Linked DNA regions of Danio rerio. The protein of the gene in region 1 purifies or fractionates together with the protein of each later gene. This does not show direct contact. Links are inferred from orthologs where the notes say so. Each region holds a gene or a part of one and is shown on either strand. Other genes may lie near its edges. The genes, in order: ppme1, ppp2r2ab and ppp2r2d.

What was found.
Region 2: the proteins of ppme1 (region 1) and ppp2r2ab purify together in Homo sapiens (affinity purification with mass spectrometry; 3 studies listed by BioGRID and IntAct, with this or other methods). This does not show direct contact. The link is inferred for Danio rerio from reciprocal best matches to the Homo sapiens genes PPME1 and PPP2R2A.
Region 3: the proteins of ppme1 (region 1) and ppp2r2d purify together in Homo sapiens (affinity purification with mass spectrometry; 4 studies listed by BioGRID and IntAct, counting the BioPlex papers as one, with this or other methods). This does not show direct contact. The link is inferred for Danio rerio from reciprocal best matches to the Homo sapiens genes PPME1 and PPP2R2D.

The regions. Positions count from the first base shown.
Region 1 is NC_133196.1:26,824,681-26,828,337, reverse strand, and holds part of ppme1 (protein phosphatase methylesterase 1), read left to right. Parts: intron 1-144; coding exon 145-196; intron 197-277; coding exon 278-432; intron 433-547; coding exon 548-638; intron 639-3,002; coding exon 3,003-3,068; intron 3,069-3,176; coding exon 3,177-3,303; intron 3,304-3,559; coding exon 3,560-3,657. UniProt on the Homo sapiens protein: Demethylates proteins that have been reversibly carboxymethylated. Demethylates PPP2CB (in vitro) and PPP2CA. Binding to PPP2CA displaces the manganese ion and inactivates the enzyme.
Region 2 is NC_133185.1:23,747,550-23,751,306, reverse strand, and holds the start of ppp2r2ab (serine/threonine-protein phosphatase 2A 55 kDa regulatory subunit B alpha isoform), read right to left. Parts: upstream 2,597-3,757; 5' UTR 2,311-2,596; intron 1,126-2,310; 5' UTR 1,007-1,125; coding exon 1,000-1,006; intron 1-999. UniProt on the Homo sapiens protein: Substrate-recognition subunit of protein phosphatase 2A (PP2A) that plays a key role in cell cycle by controlling mitosis entry and exit. Involved in chromosome clustering during late mitosis by mediating dephosphorylation of MKI67.
Region 3 is NC_133187.1:43,811,887-43,815,543, forward strand, and holds part of ppp2r2d (serine/threonine-protein phosphatase 2A 55 kDa regulatory subunit B delta isoform), read right to left. Parts: coding exon 3,607-3,657; intron 3,510-3,606; coding exon 3,344-3,509; intron 225-3,343; coding exon 112-224; intron 1-111. UniProt on the Homo sapiens protein: Substrate-recognition subunit of protein phosphatase 2A (PP2A) that plays a key role in cell cycle by controlling mitosis entry and exit. Involved in chromosome clustering during late mitosis by mediating dephosphorylation of MKI67.

The DNA.
Region 1 (3,657 bases):
TGTGTTAATTTCAGAAATCTTCCTTTAATTAGCTGAAAAAAAAATAAGGAATATAGATTTTAAAATCATATTTCAACATCATTCTTATAATATAGCTAAATATACCAACTTTCAAATGTCACATTTTCCTATTGAATTCTTCAGGTGATAGTAAAGTAAAGAACCCGGACGACCTCTCTGCTGAAACAATGGCCAAGTGAGTACATACACCTTTTGAAAGTCTGCATAATAGAGATTTTATTTTTAGCATTTAATATAAATGTTACCTTTTCTTCAGGGATATTGGAAAAGTGGTGGAGGCACTTTATGGTGAAAACCCACCTCCAATCATGATTATTGGACACAGCATGGGCGGAGCTATAGCAGTTCACACAGCTGCAGCCAATCATGTGCCATCTCTGCTTGGTCTTTGTGTTATCGATGTAGTGGAAGGTACGTTTTTCTGCTATCAACAGTGTATGCTTGTCACTGATTTCCATTGAGTTTGAACATATGCGACTGTTGGTTATTTGTATGCATCTATTGATGTTTATTGCTCATTTTTCAGGCACAGCAATGGATGCCTTGAACAGCATGCAGAACTTTCTGAGAAGTCGACCAAAAACATTTAAATCAGTGGAGAATGCAATTGAATGGAGGTACACAGAGCTAAGCGTTTTGTTGACAATAATATCTAGGGGCATCTTTAAAAAATGTGTTTGGTTACCTCACAGATGTGTTTACTTCTTTATCTCTTAAATAATAATAATAATTAATTAAAATATTTTCACTATCACAGGGCGCCCGTGTCCCCACCAATATCCATCAACTATTGAAATGTCCCCACCATTCATGTTTTTCACTTAAAAAATCTTGCTGTCAATAATAACCTAGGCATGCAGAAAGGGTTAAATCTCTTAAAAGTGACGTCGTATCTTTAGTTTTATCTCAGGCATGCTTTGCACTCGCGCTGCAAGCGTACCGCGCCAAAGCCCAACCGAACAGCACTCTGGCACACCTCTTCCCAGGCCAGAAGCAGCCAACTGAATCGCGGCCGGGGCACGGTTCGATACACTCACACTTGTCAAACAAATCAGGAAATGCTCCCGCGTACGGTTCGGATAGCCTAGTGTGAGTACACCCTTAAATGCTATTTTACTTGGTATTAAATTTTGTATTTTTTTTGATTCTGCAATGTATAGTTGTATACTAAAACTTGCTAGGACTTAATCTGCGAATATTGACATGCTGTGTAGTTTATGAAATCGATAATTTCCTGTTAGATTTGACATCACGTTGCCTTGGTTACTGCAGTAACCAAGGCAACACCATTATTCCTGCTGTTCTATCCGCTTAAGTTGTGATGTATTGGTGATATATAAAATACTGTTTACGGGTTTAAGCCGCTACTCATTTGAATCTAAAAAATAATAATTTAGGACCACTTTTGAGTCATGTCACACATTAAAGTGAACTTAATCGAATATCATGGTGTAGACAAAAGTCTTTAGACTTGCTGCATCACAGACGTTAATATTTTAACAATTGTTAAAAAATGAATAATTTTCTGGCCATCTGATATTAGGCATGGATATTGCGATCATGATTTTTGAAAGTATTACATTGCTTTGTAAACATTCATTATTATCATTTGTCGAGTCTTCCCATACAGTTTGATATTGTGCTTGGACCCGGAAGCTGCTTTGCTTGACGTCACACTTAACAATCGGATAGGCGCCACCTGCTGGATTAGCATTTATATTCATTTATTCATTCGTTCATTTTTTTCTCAGTCCCTTTATTCATCAGGGATCGCCACAGTGGAATGAACCACCAATTTTTTCATCATATGTTTTACACAGCGGATGCCCTTTCACCTGCAATACAGTACTGGGAATCATTCATATACACTCATTCACACACATACACTATGCCCAATTTAGTTTATTTAATTTACCTATAGCGCATGTGTTTGGACTGTTGGGGAAACCGGAGCACCCGGAGTATGCCCACGACAACATAGGAAAAACATGCACACACAACTCAACATAGATTTCTTACAATCAGTACTTAGTAAATATGCTGTAAGTTAAAATGTCTCTAATATTACAGGTAACACCTAAAGTAGCAATGAGGTCTTTAAATTCAATTCCATCTTTATTTGTATAGCACTTTTACAATGTAGACTGTGTCAAAGCAGCTTCACATAGAAGATCATAGTGAATTGAAACAGAGTATAAGTTCAGTTCAGTTCAGTTTAGGTCAGTTCAGTTCATTGTGTTTTAATATTCACTGCTGAGAGTCCAAACACTAAATAGCAAATCCATCGATGCGTAGCTCTACAAGTCTACAAGTTTAAATGTATTGGACGGAGTTTTAAAAAAGGTCTTAAGAACTATTGAATTTCTCTCTCCAATTCCTGTATATAGCCTCCATAAGTAAATCACAAGATCAGTAATTGTATCCATACAAAATTACCAAGCTAATCAGCATGCTTTTTTTTCATTAAATAATTTATGAATGCTTGCAGAACATCAGAAATATTGTAATGTACGTTAACTTAATACTATAAGTAATCAATTTGTTAAAACTTTAACGCACAGGTGTCAAACTCGGTTCCAAAAGGGCCGCAGCTCTGCACAGCTTAGTTCCAACCCTAATTAAACACACCTGATCAAACTAATTGAGTCCTTCAGGCTTGTTTGAATCCTACAGGTAAGTGTGTTGGAGCAGGGTTGGAACTAAACTGTTCAGGGCTTCGGCCCTCCAGGAATTGAGTTTGACACCCCTTCGTTTAACGCATCCACTTTGTTCAACTTTAAGCTGGAACAATTAATCACTGAAATCACTGTCATTTTTTTGCAGCCATAAAATTCATTAATTAATTTTCTTTCAGCTTAGTCCTTTTATTTATCAGGCATCGCCACAGCGGAATGAACCGCCAAGCTGTAAAATTCAAATAATTCAATTAAGACCAAAATCTATCTATATCTCTAAATGTATATATTTTTTCATTTTAACAGTGTGAAAAGTGGCCAGATCAGGAATGTTGAATCTGCACGAGTGTCTATGGTTGGACAGGTGAAAAAGTAAGTCTGCCACCCTCTTAGTTTACCTAAAGCAACCAACACAAGGACATGCAGAAGTGTTTGACTGTTGTGCATATATTACATGATCGCACATGTTTGGATGTATAGATGCGAGGAGCCACTGAGTAGTCCAGGGGTTTCCAAGAGCATCAGTGAAGGCATCATTGAAGAAGAAGAGGAGGATGAAGAAGGAGGAGAATCCAACCATAAAAGGAAGAAAGAAGATGACCAAGAGGTGATGCTGACAGTACAGTACAGTACAGTACTGTTTAAAAGCTTGATGTCATTTACATTTATTTAGTTTGAAAGACATATCAGCAAAGTTTGAAAGACATAATCAGCAAAGACATATTAAATTGTTCAAAGGTGGAAGTAAATACATTGACTAGCTTGTATCTTTTTAATACAAAATTCCTTACATTTTCACACACATTTTAAGGAGAACAACTTTTTTATGTACAGATGTTTGTTGATTTTGTTTCATGTGGCAGATAAAGAAGGAATCTCTGTACACCTGGCGTATTGAACTCTCAAAGACAGAGAAATACTGGGAGGGCTGGTTTAAAGGACTGTCTTCCCTCTTTCTCAG
Region 2 (3,757 bases), on another chromosome or scaffold:
ATAATTTTGTTATAAATTCGATTTTTACTATGATGGGTTCATTATAAAATATACAAAATACTGTAGTTAACATAAATGTTTTCTAGTAAATTTTAAACATTATTAAATAAATTTAAAAAATTACCCATGGTAAATTACCCCACCTATATTTGCCTTCGGCCCAATAACAGTTAGCCTCAATCAATTTGGTTTTCCTTCATGAGAAAAAGTTTGGGCACCCTTGCTATAAGCGGTAATAAAATGTTTTGTGGAGGACGCCTATATTCCATCACTGCCATAAAACTGAACCCTCCCACTCCTCACAGTCACGACTCTGACCTGTAAGATTTCTACGTTACTTATCGGGTAAGTCTGAATAACAGCGTTTAATGAATAAAAGGCGTTCGTCTTTGTCATCCCTGCGGATCCTGCCGCTTTTAGCGGCTTCCAGTCTCTCTGCGAAGCGCGCGGCAGTTTGACTGCACATGACTCTGCAGATGCCGGTTAAAGTTCTCCAGTTCAATGGAGGAGATTTAAAGAGGCCCGCATTTCCAATATATTTATACACCACACCAAATAATACACACAAACAGAAAAGAAACCGGACGTGTTACTCAGTGCCTACTCATTTACACAACCGAGATATAAAAAATCCCGCAGCCTGACCGCGCATCCCGCTAACAAATGATGAAAGGGTTAGCAGCAGACATGTTTCCACTCAAATGAAGCTCATCGCTGAAACACACCTCTATCACAGAAAAAAACAACAGTATTGCTTAAAACATCCTCAAATGATCTTTGCACTATAAATAACATAAGATGGAAATCAGTTTTGTCGATTTACTGGCTAACTGGAGGGAACGAGGCTGCTAGGCGGCTAGGCTACTGTCAGTAGAGCAGGAACGCGATGGTGGCTCCAGTGCAGCCGCTGCGCTCATTGAAACAAACAGAAGCGATTCCCTAGTTCACGGTGAATTGGAACAATCTCTGCTCAAGCAGCTCATAAACTTGTCGAGTTACCTGCCATGGCGAGAGTGGCGATGTCGGACCCTAGTCTTGATAAGCAGTGTGAAGGCGACCAGAGCAAAATTTCCAAGAGAGTCGCCGGAAATGCTGTTTTTCAAAATAAAAGTGCTTCTGATACTTCTGGATAAAAAGGGAAACAAGAAATAAAAAGCAAACAGATTTGTTAAAGGTATAGTTCACCCAAAAATGCTAATTCTGTCATCGTTAATTCACCATTTATTTATTTCAAACCTTTGCATTTCTATAATCTGTTGAGCACTATGCACAAATGATTTTGGAAACCTGTAACCATTGACCTCCATAGTATTTGCATTTACTACTATGGAAGTCAATGGTTACCGGTTGTCAGCTCTCTATAAAATATTCTCTTTTGTGTTCAACAATAGAAAGAAACTAAAATAGGTTTGGAAAAACACGAGGGAGAGTAAATACTCAATTTTGGGGCGAACAAGCATTGGGCGAAAGCATATATTACAATATTTCTAGTTATTCATGCAGGTAACCCAAATAAAAAGATATAGCTGACAGTAAGGTTTTCCCTGTTTTATGAGTTATTATGAAAATCTCTATTAATACACTTTGTTTAACATTGGTTCTGCTTTTGTCAGGACTGATAAATACTAACCATTTGTGCATAATTTATCAAACCAACTTATTAGTGGTCAATAACACTGAAATATTCATAGTGAAGGTAAACAATGCCAAGAGCTTCATATGACAGGCATCTTTGGTATGCAGCTTTATTTACTAGAGTACATTGGAATCATGCCCATATGATTTAATATGATGCTAAAAATACATGACGTGCCAACATTCAATGTTCCTTTTGATTTGGGAGGAAATGCAAATATGCAAATATCAAACATAATAAATAACTAAAATGTATTGTCTATTTACAAAGTTATGTATTACACTGATATCTTTAAACTGAAGTGAATATAAAAATATTTAAATGATATGCAAAAATTGTAATATGCTTTATTACATATAAAAAACAATGTAAAAAAATATATATATCCTTTATTACATAACAAAAAGTAACATATGTCATTAATCTTTCGGTTACTACAATAAAATTGTAAAATACTACATAATAGTTTAAATCAATACTATAATAAAAATCATTTCAGGTTTTAAACAATTTTCCCAGTACTGGGTTGTGGCTGGTAGAACATCCATTGCGTAAACATATGGTGGAATAATTGGCGGTTCATTTCTCTGTGGCAACCTCTGATAAATAAGAGACTAAGCTGAATGAAAACTGATGAATGAATACATTTTATACAATGTTTATATTAAACTTACTTTAAAATCCTTTTCTTGTACTTGTATTTTGAAAGGGAATCACGCTTTCGGGTCCGCTGTTGCGTCACTTCCGGCTCTTACCTTGGCTTACTGCTGCTGCTGCTAGTTTTTGCTATCAGAACTGTCCAGAGAACTTTGCAGGGTTTATTTTATTGCAAGCAGCTCCTCTGCAAATGCATGAAGAGGAATGTCGGAAAGACGCTATTTTTTGTCGGTAGCCCTTCAGTTCGCTATTAAATGTTGAAATGTTCTGTCTTTCCTCCTCAGCTTTCTCCTCCTACACTCCTCTCAACATTCAAAATGGCGCAACCCCGCCCTGTCATGACGTAATCGGCGCTGGCCATTCATCAGTGGGTGCTGGAGTAATGATGTAACGCCACTGAACTTGTGTGGGCAGATGAGGATATGAAATGCGTTTGTCACAAAGTTATGTGCATTTATTTAAAACTTTTTTTTTTTTTTACTTTAAGAAGAGGGAAACAATTATGCCTAAACTTTTTTGGATGGAGTGTCTTTTTTTGATAAAAAATGTGACAACAGACATGTCAGACGATTGTTACATTACTCTGTATATACCACCCCAAGATGTAATTTTTTTTGGACCAACTTCTCTGACTGCATTCAATGGAAGAGAGCATGGTTATTACCTGAAAAATTCAGCATATCCAACAAAATAAGAGAGATACATTTTAAGATCTTGCATAATGTTTATCCTACAAATTCCCAAATTGCGAATTATTTTGATATATCTAATTTGTGTACTTTCTGCAATACACATGAAGAGACTTTATTTCACTTATTCTATAGTTGCACTCACATTAAACGTCTTTAAAATGACATTACTTTTTATTTATCATCCATTTTTAAACATGATTTAAATTTGTCTATAAAAGATATATTTCTGTATTTCTCGGATGATGGTCATGCTCTCGATCTTATTGTAAATTTTTTTGTGTTACACTGTAAATTTTTTATACACAAAAATAAGTTTCTAAAAACAATACCTGTTTTTAATACTTTCCTTGTTGAAATTTCGTATATATTGAATCTCTTAAGCTTATTAATAATAAGAAAAATAATAAGTTTCTTAAAGCTTATGACAATCTTTTTTGTTAATGTTTGAGGCTGTGTATTTTTAATTTTTCTCTCTGTCTTCTTTCTTATTTTTTGTTATTGTATTTTTTCTTCAATGCAGTGATGTTATTATTCTTGTATTCAATAAAAAAAAGATGAGGATATGAAATCTTTTTATTTAATTTTTAAAGTTTATATTATTTATCCTGATCTGTTATTGTCATTGTGTTTTTCTGTGTAAATTGAATTTTGTATGTTTGTTATTGAAGTCAATAAAAAAAAAAGATGAGGATATGAAAAAAATTTACTCCAACAGCATCAAATATTCTACAACATAAAACAAGCTTGTTTAATATCTGTTTTGAATAACGGT
Region 3 (3,657 bases), on another chromosome or scaffold:
TACACCACGCACTCCATAGATGACAATTTCTAGAAACGTCCACAGCTCTCAATCTCATTCAATATTTAACTAGAAACCAGTGCTGCTGCAGGAGAAGAGAGACAGACTAACCCGTAGTGATGTGATTCGAAACGGATCTCGCAGTCGTCCGTCCTCGTCTTTAAGGTTGTATCCTTCTGCTCGTTTATCCCTTTCGCTGATCTTCCATAATTTGATGGTTTTGTCTTTTTGAAAGGGACACAAAAATGCAAACATCAGTTACAGGAAAAAAAATTGCAGATTTAAAACCTAGGAGCTCACATTTTTCATTAACCTGAGAAAAAAATATGTACAGTAGAAGTCAAAATTATGCGCCCTCCTGTATATTATTATCTTTTAAATGTTTCACAAATTAGGTTTAACAGAGCAAGAGATGTTTTCACTGTAGTTCCCATACAATTGTTTTCTAGTAAAAGTCTTGTTTTATTTCGGCAAGAATAAAAGCATTTTAAAGGCCAATATTATTAGCCTTCTTAAGCAATATTTTTTCTCAATTGACAACAAAACAAACGATGGTTATACAACGCAATGTTTTCCCTATCATTACATAAGAGGGGCACCCCGCCCTCCCAACGGCTGTCCCCGCCCCCTTAACCCCTTCAGACCCTGCGTCCATTTCAATGGACATCACATGACATCCCATTTTTCTGAAATTTGGAACATAATTCAGGTCTGAAGGGGTTAAATTCACATTAATTGTATTTCATATATAGCGCCAGATTACAGCTATTTTTAATAAACAAGCTAAACAGCCGTATGTAATATCTCATTTAAACAACAGCATGTCATTTCAGTTCTACGCTCGAGTCACTGCAGCTAAATGTCTCCAGCAAATGCATAGAGCAGTGGTTACCAAACTTGTTCCTGGAGGGCCGGTGTCCTGGGCCCGGTTTTTCCAAAAGTAATCCACTAGGATTTTGGATAAGGGATTGGATCAAATCTTGAAAATGGGTTTTTCAAAAGAAAAAACAGATTACCTAATCGGATTAGATCTGGTAATCCAGTCTTGGTTTGGATCCGGATCAAACCTTTACTTTGGGGTTTTCAGACCTTTTTTGTAGGATTTGGATCACTTTGATCCAAAAAACCTGGATTAAACTGATCCCATCAGGAGGGTGGATTTAGTGTGGATTTCATGCCCAAAATGTAATGAAAACTTAAATGTATTAAATAATATTATTTTTGGATCATGCAGTATCTTACGAGATGTATACTATTTATTCATAAGGTTTTAATTTTATTTGTTCATCTGTCAGGCTATAGTAATTATTGGCTTTAACATACTCAGCCTTTCAGTATAGGCCTACAGAAAAGTAGAAATAGCTTGGCCTCATAAAACAATCCCCCAAACAGCTGTCAAAATTGACCAAAAACAATCATTTTTATTCCGTTACTAATTAATATAAATATATTCATCACAATAGAAAATATTTTTGTGTTTAGAATATTTATTAGTGATGCATGCAATAATTACAGAACAACCAAAAAAATGCAAAGAATGGCAATCAATGATTTTTGAAATCTTTCAACAATTGCAAAAAGAGACTGAAAGGGCAGAAGCACAACTTCATCTGGCAAAGGAACAACCGACTCTGACCAAACTGCAGCAAACCAAGGCCAGACTTGAGATCTGCCTCCTAAAGGCTTTGCTCAGACAAGCTGATCTCCACATCAGATGAGGAAGACTGAACTTATTGTGGAGTTTTTGAAATTAAGTCTTTTTTTTTTATTTACATCTATATTTGAAACATTATAAATACCTCAATGTACAGTGTTTGTGTTGCAGGTCTCAGATGAGTTGATTGCTGGAAGAGGATGGGGTGGGGTTTTTATTGTTTTATGTGTGTGTTTTTATTTCAAATAAAAATATAGTTATATTAATAAGTTATATTGGCCCCACACTGGCTATTCTACTTGTTGCTTTTTACTGTACATAGGCCTATCTATCCATCTACATTGTGATTGAGCACTGGTTATCCAGATTTAGTGATCCTGAAAAGTTCCTATCCGGATCAGATTGATCCAATCTAATGTTGCTTTGAAAAACTGGCTTAAAAAGTAAGCTGGATTACGTGATCACGGATCGCAAAACAAGGATTACTAAATAGATCAATTTGATCCGGATTATACCTTTTAAAAAAACGGGACCTGCATATTTTAGCTCCAACCCTAATCAAACACACCTGAACGAGCTAATCAAGGTCTTACCAGGTATACTTGAAGCATTCAGGCAGGTGTGTTGAGAAAAGTTGGAACTAAACCCTGCAGGGACACCGGCCCTCCAGGACCGAGATTGGTGACCCCTGGCATAGAGACTCCCGGATGGCCACAAACGAATGATAATCTCACGAAAATTGCACATCTCCCGCCAAGTCCTCAAATACATCCCGCATCCCTCTCTGCTCTTCAGATGCGTTGCGCACATCCCATGCTGTGATGCGAGCGGAGCTATCTCCTCTATCTAGTGTCTAGTTTAATCCTTGATCCCAAGGATTCCATATCCGGGACCAGGCCATATCCTGAGCTGCTGCTGTGCTGATGGTCGTGGGGAGTGGAGAACATGAGTCTGATTCCAGCAACGCTCCAGGGACAGACGAGTCTTCGCTGAGGCCATCTTCCAGCCTCCACCACGGCGAATGAAGCTCTGCACAAGACTTTTGGCCAGCGGTGAAATTAAAATGGTCTTGCCCAACTGAGTCTGGTTCTCTCAAGGTTTTTTTTCTTCACTCCCATCAGGTGAAGTTTTTTTTCCCTCTCCGCTGTCGCCACTGCCTCGCATGGTTCAGGATTGGTAGAGCTACGCATCAATGAATTTGCTCTTCAGTGTTTGAACTCTCAGTAACGATTAAATCACACTGAACTGAGCTAAACTGAACTGAACTGAACTTAAACACTAAAACCTGAACCACACTGTTCCAGTTACTATGACCATTTATGTGAAGCTGCTTTGACAAAATCTACATTGTAAAAGCGTTATACAAGTAAAGCTGAATTGAATTGAATAGTTATGACCTCTCCCGAAAGCTCTGCGTGTCTTCCGCAAATTCATACCGGCTCAGTGATCCCCCAAAATTAATTAAAATACCAGGAATTCATAGTGACGGGAGTGAATAAGCAAGGGAACAGATCGCGAGAGGAGCTATGATGGAGGAGCAATAATGGCAGCCCCAATCCACCCCCCCCCCCCCCCACTCTTTTTTTATTGAATAAATTATGAATTTCTGACAGCAAAAACACTGATGCCAGACTTTTGAATTGTACTGTAGTGCATAATGAAATCAAACGTTTAACTTGCAGCATTTACCGTTTGTGGACAGTAGAAAGTGCGCAGCGTTCTGTTGCGGCAGCCATCTGATTTTATTGATCTTCTCCTCGATTTCTAAACTTTTCAAGTAATCAAACTCGGGCTCGTGACTCTGAAAAGTGCTGTACACGTTGTATTCGCCTCTTGAGAGCGGGCGGTTTTTACTCTGTGGACATAAACATGGACACACACGCATATAATAGCACTCTGATTGAGTCACACTTACTAATAAGATTAAAAATAAAGTCTTTGAGTTGCATTACCTCCTGTTCTCGCTGAAATATGACGACTCTTCCCCCTTTGTCTCCTGTGGC